2 linked regions of the Drosophila melanogaster genome follow. The gene in region 1 interacts genetically with each later gene. Each region holds a gene or a part of one and is shown on either strand. Other genes may lie near its edges.

Region 1 (5,335 bases):
ACGGGCAAGAGACCACTGACCACCCACCTGATCCACACACTCCCTTAAGGGTTTTTGTGGTGACAGCCTCGGCAGATGCCTTCACCTCCCCCGCAGTCACAGTGCAAACAGCTTTCTGCACTTCGCTGGGCAGTTTTGGAGCAGCTTCTGTATCCAAGGGATTCCCGGTGACGTTGAACAGTCCACTGCCCGATTCCTCCTCCGTCGCCATCGCCGTGGAGCAGAGAACAAGACACAGCATCCACGTAGCTGTCATCATATCCATCCACCAAGAATCCTCTTCTGTTGAAACACCCAAACACAACTGTCGACGAATCTTGGGAAATTGGCAATTTGGGGAGCACCACCTTGAGCCACTCGTTCACGTGGATTTATTGGTCGGCGTGTCTTTTGACTTCTGGTGCGTGGAACTACTTTTAGAATGGGACCCTCCCACCAAACTCTAAAAATAGTGTACACTTTTGATGGCTTCTCTAGTACGAACTATGAATGAATGAAACACATTCGCACGATGTTTGTGTTCCTCTTGAAATACCTTCATACATACATATTTATTCGCTGCGTTTCAGAGGAAATGTACATATTTTTCAATTTCTTAGAGTTTTGGCAAGCTTGCGCTTTTCGAATTTTGAAAATACAAAATTGCACTTCCCCTAAATCAAATGCTTTCGTAATAGAATTGCTGAAAATGATTAATTATGCATTCTTAAATATAATTTTAAAAAATTGTTTGAATGCCTATATAAAAGTAATTTGTTTAGTTAAAACCACATTTTAAATATTTGTGTTTATATTATAGCAAGAATTCTACGCATAGCCAGTATCTAAGTTGGTAGTATCCTTCCAAGATGTCATCCCATTGAGAAGAAGGACAACCGGAAGGCCATTTCGACTATGTTCTGGGGAACATCGGACCGGTGACACACGTACACTTCCTTGGCTGGCGACTGAAAGAGACGACCAACCACCACGAAGCGACTGCTCGTCGAGGATTGGGATTGCCCGTCCGACTTGGGTTGCGTGCTGACCTCCAGGATCATGCCGTGCTCCTTGACCAGCGACACTGTGTGGCTACTGTGCCCGTTCGAGTTCGTCTGTGCTCTCGAGGATTCCGATAGATGCCTGCGATAGTGCTTGGATTTCTGCAGCACGGCGTGGATTATGTGACACGCCTGACGAATCTCGGAGAGGTAGTTGGAGTTCTCGGAGCTGTCGGTAAATGGCGCAAACAAGGACCCATTGGCTATGTCAATGTAGACGTAGTGCAGAACGGAATTCTTCCAGCCAGCGGATATCTTGACCGGCACCACGTTGTTGATCTCCTTCCACATGGACTCTGTCATTTGGCTCTGACTGTGGCTCTCGGCCCCGAGATTCAGTCCATAGTGAAGTGGATGCTGTACGGCGAAGTTCTCCCAGTCGGAACCGCTGTCTGAGTCCTCGGCAGTACCATGGATGGGGGTCAATCGCCTGCGACAGGACTCGTCCTCACTGGGAGTCAGACTATGTATGGAAGACCCACCCAGGGACGAGCACAGTTGGGCTTCCTCCTCCACCGAAGGACTCAGCACGGTTAGCTTCTGCTTGAGGAAGGACTCCAGTCGGTTGTTCGGCTCCTTCTCCTGATCTCTACTCTCGCTGGCAGTGGCGTCCAGCACCTCGGGTCTCTTATTGGAAACGGACCAGAACATGGCCAGGGATTCAATGCCGCACTGTACTAGGTGGTCCAGCGTCTCTTGAATCTCCTCGATGTAAAAGAGCGATGGACCCACCACCGCATCCGGCGCCATGTCTGGAGCATCGAAGATCTTCAAGATCACGGCCAGACTCAAGTGGTTCTTGGTGCAGATGGTAAGGAAATATCGCCCTGTGGCACTGGGCAACACTATCTCCTCCCACACGTACATCTCGCGAACTTTGATTCCCGGAGCAGCTCCGAGCAACTCGAAGATTCCGCGGCAGCGCAGGAATCCTTCTACACTCACCCTCACTTCCGGTGGCAGCAGGCTGGCCACCAGGAAGCCATCGTAGTACAGCGCACTGCCGTAGATGAAGAACTCGCGATGGGTGGTGAGTGGCTCGTCGTTCCAGTTGCGATAGTCCATGGCCTCCATTTCACTCAGAGCATCAAAGATGCGCAGCTGCGCTTCCTTTGGCAGTGGCAGGCTGCGGGATTGGCCCAGGAGCTCCTCGAAACGAATATGACCATGGCATCTGGCTACGAGCCGGGTTCTCTGGATTTCGCAAAAGTGTCGAAGGAACAGCTTCAGTCTCGAACTATTCCCCGGCTCTCTCTCCTGATTAAAGCTCTCCAGGACCAAGCCCGGCAGAGAGAAGCGTATGTATCCGATTAGCTCATCCGATCGCAGGCTGCACTCCGCCGCACAGCAGAGTCCTCCGGCGTAGGCGAAGAGGACTAGGAACCCATTCAGTTGGCGGTAGTTGACGTGGTATTGCACCTGATCCACCAGCAGCCTTGAACTCAGCGGCTGGGTGTGCAGTTCACTGAGTACGGCGTGCAGGGTGAGGAAACTCCCACGGGCCTTGAATAGGAAGTTGTCGGGGATTTCCGGAAAGTAGTAGAGGGAATCCTGTTGCTGTTCATGCTGATAGCACTCCGGTGGGAGTAGCAGCATAGCAAAGGGCATTCTTATGTCCACGGAACTACCGGGAATACCGAAGTTCCCCTCCGTTATCAACATCTGCTCAAACTTCTCCGTGAACATGGGAAAGTTCTCCACCTTGCACACCTGCTCCTCGCGGACATTTCGATTATACCCCGGATCGGTGGGCGAAACTGCACTGGCCGCACCGCACGACTGGAAGCCTAGGCACACCTGAGTGGGCTCCACGAACTGCTTGAGCAACTCATCCACATTGCTGGCGTACACCTCTATGCCATTCAGGGATCTAAACCAATCTCCCCGCTTGATGCCGTGCTGCAGCGCACTCACATCGTGAACGAACCCATCGACCATCAGGCATTCTGGTTGGTCCGGAAAGGGCAGGACCCGGAAGCCCAGTATGGACTCCACCGCCGTGGATCGTCGTCCGAAACGGAAGCGATCAGCGGCTGTGATCACCAGATCCAGTTTCTTGGGATCGGGGGCAGCCGTCTTGAACTGTGAGAAGCGGAACTCTTGCGGCTCCGTCTGGCTATCCAACCTGCTCGGGCCGTGGGACTGGTTTTGGTTCTGACTCTGATTCTGATTATTGCTGTGCGGCTGGCGACGCGACGACTTCTTTCCCAGGCGCAGCGATCGACGCATGAACTCCACCCGCCGCTCTGCCGAGACGCCAGTCTTCTCACATCGCACATACTCCATGTAGAAGAGACTGCCGTCTGTGGACACGTACTCCTCCCAGTTGGCCAGGTCGCTGCCATCGCTGTACGAGTTGCTCAGCGAGGAGTTCGAACTGGAGAAGGCCTCCGACGGCAGGCTGGCCGGCGATTTGCGCATAGTTTACCGGGGATAGTTAACTGGGCGGATAGTTATTAGTGGCCTACTATTCCAGGTACACACTCAACTATCTGCCGCCGGTTGATACCGCCTCAGCTCAGCTCTGAATGTCGACTGAAAGCCGAGATCCGATCTCAGCACTCAAAACCAGTTTCTAATTGAGCTCTGGCTCCGACCAGCTCAATACCACTCCACTCAAATTCCAGCGGGAAACGATCCACTCCCTTTGTGATCTGGTTCTCTTTCAAGCTGGGGAAACTCAAAACCCACCGTGGGTTAAGACAAGTATAGTTACCATAATACAATAACCAATTTCTTTTCTTTTTATAAGTGTTCGCATTTAACGATTGGACTGCTAACCAGTTGATTTCAGCGTGATATTAAGTTATAAATAATAATCATGGAAAATCCTTATAAAAATAGAGCTCCGTCTGCGATATGCTGACTCTGCACAAAGTCGCATTGAAGATTTGGTGGAACTTAAAGCAAAATTGGTGTGCTATCATAAGGATTGTGTTAATCAGCGGAAGATTAGTAAAATGTTGCTTCCTCAATGGGTATCCGATGATCATTTGTCATAGGAGACTACCGCTGAAGTCCTATCTCCCAATAAATTATTTTACGGCCAATAAACTGTGTATGCATGATATGAAGGGAATTGATATAATTAATTGGGCATTTGTGGACCCGGGTGTTTTAGTGGCCACCTTTTCGTATCGCCGATGGTCTGATAATCTAAGATTTTCCAAGTGATTTTTTTCATATCGGTCTCCGGACTGGACGCCGTAAATCAAAACTTTTCTATCTGCAAACAATCGAGTAGTATAGAAAATTGTGTCTCACTGAACTCACTATGTGCTGGCCAAAAGCGAGCCGTGGCTATATCGGTTGATCCGGAGCACCGATCCCATTGAAGTACGGGCCTAATAGCCGTACTCCGACGTCCAGATAATTATCCGATAAGGAACATGGCGTGGGCGTGAAGCGGGACGCCCAGTGCCACCGAAAAAGCGATACGCTGATAGTCCCGGGCCATTCAAGGGAAGATATTGCCAAAATTGATAAGCCGTATCATGGCAGAATTAGCCGCACATGTGTACCGCAGCTACCTATTATTTCTGCTGACCATCGGAGCAAGCTGAGTCCTCCAGCCAGTCCATTGCGCGAATCCAAGGCGTGTGCTTCGCCCAGCCGCAAATAAAGTGATTTGCGGGAAATGTCGGCCGCGGTTAACTATCACAAAATGTGGCTTAGATTTCGGAATACCCAGTGAAACTGAATGAGTGGCTAAAAATTGTATAGAACGCGATTATCTGTGTGATTGTGAAATCAAACAGCTGTCAAATCTTATTTATAATCCCCCATTACAAGCACTATAGGTGCGCAATTCAGTGAATATGTGTCCAAAATATATATGGGATGTGATCGTATTAGTATGCCTGTTCCTTGGAAACGTAAGGGAAGCATACACCGAGTTTTCGATCCAGGATGGCTTGATAATAGAACCAGATTCAGCCACAACATCCAGCGAAGAGGCCGAAGAGGTCAGCAAGGAGAGAACGGACCTCAAATCCCTCATGTTGAAGTACGAATCGGATGATGGGAACAGTTGTCTGCTGGATCTGATCAAGGACGAGGTGATATGGTGGCAGTTTCCCAACGGAACCCTCAGGGACAGCACAAAGAAATACGGTAAACCTATCCAATAAAGTCCAATAAAAATCCCTGCCCAAGTCTCAGTTTGATTGGGCATTGTTAACAGCTCTCGAAACTATATACATATACTTTCACGCTTCCGGCAACGCGGATCGACTGCTTATAGAAGGTCTTTGATGTTAGCCTAATCCCACCAGAATCGGTAACATTATTATGGA
Region 2 (7,549 bases), on another chromosome or scaffold:
CAAATTGCTCTTTAATCGTTTTTGTATATGTTTTCCTGACGTAGCGTGCTGCAGTCCAGGATCGAATCAATATTTAATGGCGACCGCGTTTCCACATTCCCAGGCGGAAGGGAGTCGTCGCTGATGGAATTCTGACTTCGTGCGCCCAATGAATCACCCCCAAAAAGGGGGGCGGCAAAGCAGCCGGATAGTGCGGAAAATGGGCAAGTGGGAACATGGGAAAGATGGGAAATGGGAGCATGGGCAGCCGGGGCGCTGGAGCGGACAATGACCACCTGACTGCGCTTCCTGTGGGAAGGTCTCGAGGAGCGGAGGAGCAGAGAGCATCCGAGAAATTACTATCAATATTGATTTTTATTCGCAGCCAGTGCCGTCTTTGTTTTTCACATATTCATGGCTCACACATTCACAAAAATGCACAGTGCGCGCTCGCTACAGTTAACTGGCAAGCAAAAGTAGTTATTTAGATTCTCAAAGGAAAGATAGTTTCAATACTGTAGTAATATTAGTAAGAACTTTAAATTCACAGTACCATTAAGGCAGCAATGTAAGGATTCTCAAAACACGTACTTTCCTGTTGGCATGTTCCCTTTATCGAGCGTGCACTGTGATTTTTCTTTGCCTTAGAAAGAATGGGAAGATGGGGGCACGGAGGATGGGCTTGAGAGGCAGGAGGAGGAGCAGGAGGCGGAGAAAGAGGACGAGCCACCACCAGCAGACAGACTGCGAAAAAAGAGACGGCAGTCACCCCAATGTCGGAATTTACTTTTGCACTAACTTGGCACTTTTAACTTTCTACTTTCTAAGGTTTCCAATACCTTTTCGCCGCCCCTCGCCACACACACTCACACACCCGCCGTTACGCGACACACACACACACACGGATGGTGGCGTGCAACAATAAATACTGATTTTGGCGATTGGTGCGCCCGAAAACACGTTGAAATGCCACCAAATTCCGCTGAGCACTGAGCACTGAAAGTCGAGTTCCTGCCGCTTCTCCAATTCGCGATGCCTAGCATTTCTCTACGTCTCGTCCTTCGTCCTGTCGGCCGATAAATCGCGATTGCCGAGCATGCGCGTGCTGCCAGCCAAGTGGGTTGTCAGCAAAGGCGATGAAATTATAGCCGCAATTGGCCCTTACAAGACTGGTGCGCAAATCTTGCGGCAACACATTTCAATTTGCGCTTTTTCGAGTCCGCCGTTGAAAGTCAAACAAATGCGCGTCTTGTCGTTTGGAACAGCTGATTGCCAGGTGCTTCTTCTTCTGCGAGTGCCAGCCACTGGGAAGCAGTGTTGCAAAGGGACGGTAGAGGTAAATAACAGGCGCTACAAATTTAAAATTTAAATGCAAAGTGTTCTCACGTACATGTTTATTCAAAGCACTCAATAATAGTATGTACTTACTTTAATAACTAAATATTATATGCACATTGGACAATGAATTATTACTTATTTATTTATTTTGTAACCAATCTTTAAGTCAAATGGGAGGATGTATATATATGTTTCATTCTCCGCTCGTAAATTATTATTGGAGACGTGCAGATAAAATAAAAGCAAACCCGTTCACATCGAAGCTCGCCTGGTGTGACCATCCACGCTGGTCAAACTACTTTGCGCACGCCATGGTCGCACTGCTCGCAGCAAGCCAGGCTTGGCATTCAAATTTCGATCGCGACGAGCAACAGGTGCGATTTTTGGCATTCCGGTTCGCAGTGCAGCGCATTTCTCCCACTTGGCGCCCTAAAAAATCGGCCGGGGGCAAAAACCATAAACCATGGTGTATATCGTGTGTGCAAGTTGACTTTCACTGCGGGTCAATTCAGAGATCGGGATCCCAGGCGACGTTCGTCTTTAATTAAGGCGCTTCGCACGCGTTGTCGTCGTTGTTTTAGCTCCAATTTAGCTGCTTTAGCCGTTTTATCTGCTTGGTAGTTTTGGCCAAGTAGAAGAGGGGCTCCGCTGCGAACGTGTTTACGATTTTCTGTGCGATCCCAAGCTGCGATTCGAATGCGAGCTTCGCGTTTTCGCACTCGAAACTTCTTTTCGTCTATTTCTCACCCAGAAAACACAATCGCAGTAGACTTTTGAGTTGATTTTAGTGAGAAGAGGCAGTAAAAGAGCCATGAAAAATATGGCAAGAGATAAAAAAACAGACAAAAACAGAAGAAGCAGAGGGCGACACTGTGCGGAGTACCGTTAATGCGCGAGTAACTATTTAATCATGATTTAAATAATGAGGAATTCGCGCTCGTAATTGATTTAAGTAGCGCTCGGCATTTGCATAATTTTCCCCATACGAACACACACACTTGCAAGCCTGGAAAATCCGTTTTTCCTCTGCAGCAGCAGCGGCAGCACAACAAGTGCACATGTGTAGGGGTGTGCAGCCGTGCACGGCATGCATGCATGTGGCCGAGTGCAGGTGTATTGGTGCTGTTGTGAACCTAAATGGACAAGTTAGAATCCACATTCCACAACAATGGCCAAGAAAACGGCCGCCGATCTATCAGTTCCTTGGGCAAATCCAAAGATAATTGCAGCGCGGCGCTCCATTCGCAATTTACTCCACAGCCTGTGCAGAAAACAAATGGTTGCTCACAGGCTCAAGATTAGAACAATCTGAGGATCGGTGCTCTCTTTTGTGGAACAAATCTTTAAGTGTACACATGGCTATTGAACTAAATCTATAACCGGTGGCCTTAATTATCATGACAATGAACTACAAAAAAGTCAACGAAAATAGCATGAACCTTTTAGAAGAAGCTGTAGGAAAAAAGTCGCGGCATAATTAGAACGAGCGAAAGGTTGCACAGTGGGTTAAAGGTGGTGGTTTGGGTTAAGAAAGAATCGGTGGAGAAAATGGAAAACACAAATCCTGTGTTACCTGTCCGTCTAGTGCGGAATGCCGACTGTGTGGAAAGAGCTCAGAAAAGACTGCTGGGAATTAATTAATTGTTGTATTTGTAACCTTCGAAGGCAGATCACTATATTTAGGCCAATAAAATCTTGAGAATTTCACGCAAATTCATTCATATCAGCCACATTTTACACAAAAAAGGTTCGTTTATTATTGAAAAACTGAGAGAAAATTGGGAAACGCTGTAGGCTATACATATATCTAATGCTTCTTTCGAAGCTTAGATGAATCCAACCCGAATTGATGATTGGTTTGTTATTGTTTTTTCGAGCACCAAGCTTCCGATCTATTTTGAGAACCTTGAAACCAAGCTAATTTGCTTACGAAACGAATATATCTCCTTTAGAACACAATGTAACCAAGTGGGCCCCATCCGTTTGGTCAGATATTGTATCTACCCTCCATATATATTCCGAACCCACTTAGCCGCACAGCCGTCCGCCCACGAAGCCGCAGTAAGCAACTGTAAACGGGGGAAAGGCCAGAAGAAAGAGCACAATTTTCAAAGAATTCATAAGCACGCGCTAATGCGAATACTAATGTCATGCGGGCTCCATCTCCATCTCTCTGCTGACCAGTATCCACTGGCCCCTGTCGTCCCACCTAACCACCAGACCACCGCCCAACTCCAAAATCCCACCCCCCCCCCGCCCGACCACCGCCTGTTACCTGTGCGTAAGGTGTGTGGAAGCACCTGTTGTTGAACAACATAACCGTGCGTGCCCGGCCGTTCGTGTTGCGTCTTATTAGAAGCCGCATTCGGTGGCCCCTGGGCCAGTCGGTAGAAACAGAGAAAAACAAGAAAGAAAAACAGGGGAAACGAAAAACAGACTTGGCCAAAAGAAGCGAGAAACACAGCGCTGAAAACCGGTTGACGTGGAAATGAAAGAAAACCTTTTGCATTTACAGTCAAGCTTCGGGAAGGGAAATTAATTTGAGTCGAAATATTGGTACAACTTCTCGCGCCTTTTCAATTTAAAGCAAAGATATCTCCAGAAAACAAAGGTTTATAAAAATAGATGGATAGTTGTTCCAATATATAATCAAATAATAAAACCCCCAAATTTGCTTTTTCACTTCATATTTCTTTAGTTCAAGCTAACGAAGTTTGACTGTAGCACTTGCCGTATGTTAAAACTGATGTCGCTGAATAGTTGGATTTTTCTCTTTTTCCACAGATCGAATTTGGTGAAATCAATGCGTAGAAAGTGAAACGAGATTCAGACAAAGTTGGGGGAAAAGTGAAAAGCTGCGGAAAACTTGGCTAACCAAACAAACACATTTGAACACACTTGCGTTGGGCGGATTGAGATTTCGTGCTCCTCCAACCGATTTGCCTGGCCAGGAGCTGCAGTTGGAGCTGGAGCTGGAGCCAGAGCCACAATCAAACACCTGGGCGAGCGGCGGCCCACCTGCCGGCTTAGATGCGTCTAATCCAAACGGCAACCGGCGGTGCTGCTGCGTCCGTTCTGCAGACCCACTCCCAGGCGCAGTACAACTACACCAGCATGCGTGAAGATGATATCGAGCTGGCCATTAAAGTGGTAAGTTGCCCAGCCGGCTGCGTGAATCTCTGTCATTCGGATGATGAATGGTTGAAATGAGTGCACTGCAAGAAAAAAAGATGGCTACTATTAAACCAAACCCACATATACAATTGATTATATATCGTATCAAGAAGAGTTCTGCATATCCCAAAATGGAATGACTTCTTTCCAATATTAGTATATTAATCAACTTCCATATGTTAAAGCATCAGATCATCTAATAGTTTTTCTATATATTTTTATAAACTTCTAACTAGTTCTAAATAATAACTTTCTGTGTAATTTTCCCTCGCCAAGTGTTGTGAATGGCACCTGTAAGATAAAATCCGATGGAAATGTCTGTTGCTAATGGCGAAACTGCACGAATTAAGATTCTAGTTCAATTAGGGTTCTCCTCTCCCTAAATAAAGTTGTTTCTAATGGTTTTTCTGGAATTGTTTCAAATTGATTTATATGATTATTTCCGAATGTGTCTTTCTGCAGACAAGCCAAATTTGATTGACATTTACGCGCTTAATTAACTTAAATGGCTAACCGTTTTAAATGTCCAGTAGAAAGCACATAAATATTGTGAACAGTTAATTTTCTCTCCTTCTGGTGAATAACAAAACGCTTTTTTGCTTATGATTGAAATAGCAAAACATAACGTAAGACTTTTGTTTTGAAATATGAACTAATAACAACTCTGGTATTTTCCATAGGTCATTGTTGGAAATGGCGGCGTTGGCAAGTCATCAATGATCCAGCGCTATTGCAAAGGCATTTTCACGAAGGACTACAAGAAAACGATTGGAGTGGACTTCCTAGAGCGACAGATCGAGATCGACGGCGAGGATGTGCGCATCATGCTGTGGGACACCGCCGGCCAGGAGGAGTTCGACTGCATCACAAAGGCGTACTACCGCGGCGCCCAGGCTTCCGTCCTGGTCTTTTCGACGACGGATCGAGCATCCTTCGACGCGATCAAGGATTGGAAGCGCAAGGTGGAGAACGAGTGCAACGAGATACCCACAGTGATTGTGCAGAACAAGATCGATCTTATCGAACAGGCGGTGGTTACGGCCGACGAGGTGGAGACGCTGGCCAAGCTCCTCAACTGCCGGCTCATCCGCACCTCCGTCAAGGAGGACATTAACGTGGCGTCCGTGTTTCGCTACCTGGCCACCAAGTGCCATCAGCTAATGACCCAGAGCTACGACCAGGTGGCCGGAAACCAGCAAAACTCCAGCCATCCGCCTTACAGCAGCACGCCCACGATCAGCGCCTTCAGCCCGACCTTCACAAAGTCCAGCAGCGGCACCATCGTCCTCCGTCCGGCGAAGAAGGGCCATGGCTCCAGCGTGGCCCGAAAGCGAAAGATAGTGCTCAAGAAATGCGGAATATTGTGAGGAGTTGTCGGATTAGCTGGTTAGATGGCGGCAGGGGCGACTCGGCTGGCAATTAATATCTGGAGCATATTTAACGCCTAATTATTTTGGAGCCTAATGATGTTGTGGCCGGGTGGCCAGCCAACCGTTGGATGCAACCACAGCCATTCACTAGTCGTGCACAGACTCCGCGTGATGTGGTTCAGACATGCTTACGGAACAGAAAAAATAATCGGAGGCAGCAAATTGGATCTTCTGGATCCCCACGAAGATGAGATACCCTTGCGGTCGAACTGAGGAACTAAATATTTGATTTACACTGCACAACGGAAAGTTTTCACCATCTTTCGGGCCGGTTCCGATATCTCACAAAAATGTATTCATCTTTGGTTTTTAAAACTACGATTTTTAATATACAGATTTAAATTCTATGCCGGATATTGTTCTTGAACACGAAAATTATAAGAAACACCCAAATCATTTAAGACACCATAGAATAAGCTAACTTTTCGGTGTATTATTTTAACTGCAACTATTTAATACTCCTGTTTATATTTACCATATATAGAACGTATATACAGACCCAATACTCACTTGGCCACACGAGCCATTAGACCAAAACCATAGCACCCGATCTGCACGGGTAGATGATGAGTTCTCGAAACCATAGACAATATGCACGAGCACTGGCAGTTTCTCAAAAATTTCCACAATTAGTTATAGATACGAAATCAAATTTGTATGTATGTATTATGCCCGCTTTTCTATAACGGAGACTGAAGCAACTTTGCTTTCATATCGAATATGTTTGTATATAGGGGTTAGCTCCCTAACCAAGCAGAATTAAAAGGCTATTTATCACGCTACCAAGCCCAGATCACAGGTCCATGTGAAATCCCTTTGCCAATTCGCGTTGGCCAAATGTGCAATTAAACATTCAGCTTTTATAATTATTAACTAATTGCAAGTCATGCCAGAGCGCAATTTGACGCGATTCATGTAGACCAGTGCTGCTCGCATTCTATGCAAAAAACTGCAGATAGAGCACAGTGAAACTCGTGAAGCATGTAACATGTAAGCCGAATAGGAGTTTAGAAATAACTAATAAATAATAAATAACCCTAAGCCCATTAATATTCTATTTATGCATGTAATGATCCATTAATATGTTTACTTAATAAATTATTTTATGTAAATTAAGTCGATTGTTGTGCAATTGGGATTCACTTTTGGAAAGTCAGCGGGCAGGAATTTGATGAAGTGGGTTCGAAATTAAAGTAGCATAATGGGTTAAGATGTCATGGGTTAAAACAGCAGTCGTAGTTTTGAAATGTTTACCATTTTTTATTTGATTTTTGATTTTACACTTTTTTTGTAAGCTTGACAATTTTGCGATCCGCTTCTGTTACACCATCGTTTAAACGTTTCCACATTTAAATCGTTTAAACTATTTTAAATATATAATATTTCTTTCTTTATATTTACAATGCGCGTTGAAAAACTATCGCTTCGCAACGCATAAATCATTAAATGTGTATATATCTATTTTGTTGTAATTTTCAAGTGTTTCCTTGTATTAATAAAGGCATAAATAACTATTCGTCAATTTCCATTCTTATTTATTTACACAAAGTCGAAAAATCAAAATATCTTAGATATAGGCAAGGAGAGAGAGTAGAAAGTTCGATTTCTGGAGGGTCAGGGGAAGAGAG

The links.
Region 2: of in (region 1) and Rab23, changing one enhances a phenotype caused by changing the other (phenotypic enhancement), as found in Drosophila melanogaster (one study listed by BioGRID).

Annotation. Positions count from the first base shown.
Region 1 is NT_037436.4:20,365,442-20,370,776, reverse strand, and holds in (inturned), read right to left. Parts: upstream 3,580-5,335; 5' UTR 3,462-3,579; coding exon 852-3,461; 3' UTR 518-851; downstream 1-517. Other genes in the region: CG13247 (uncharacterized protein), read right to left, coding at 28-265; Toll-9, read left to right, coding at 4,859-5,153. UniProt on the Drosophila melanogaster protein: Plays a role in the definition of cell polarity via the planar cell polarity (PCP) cascade. Acts downstream of fuz and accumulates asymmetrically in wing cells to regulate planar polarity in the wing. Probably acts by regulating ciliogenesis.
Region 2 is NT_033777.3:5,679,540-5,687,088, reverse strand, and holds Rab23 (Rab23), read left to right. Parts: upstream 1-1,654; 5' UTR 1,655-1,691; intron 1,692-4,101; 5' UTR 4,102-4,347; coding exon 4,348-4,467; intron 4,468-5,171; coding exon 5,172-5,858; 3' UTR 5,859-7,035; downstream 7,036-7,549.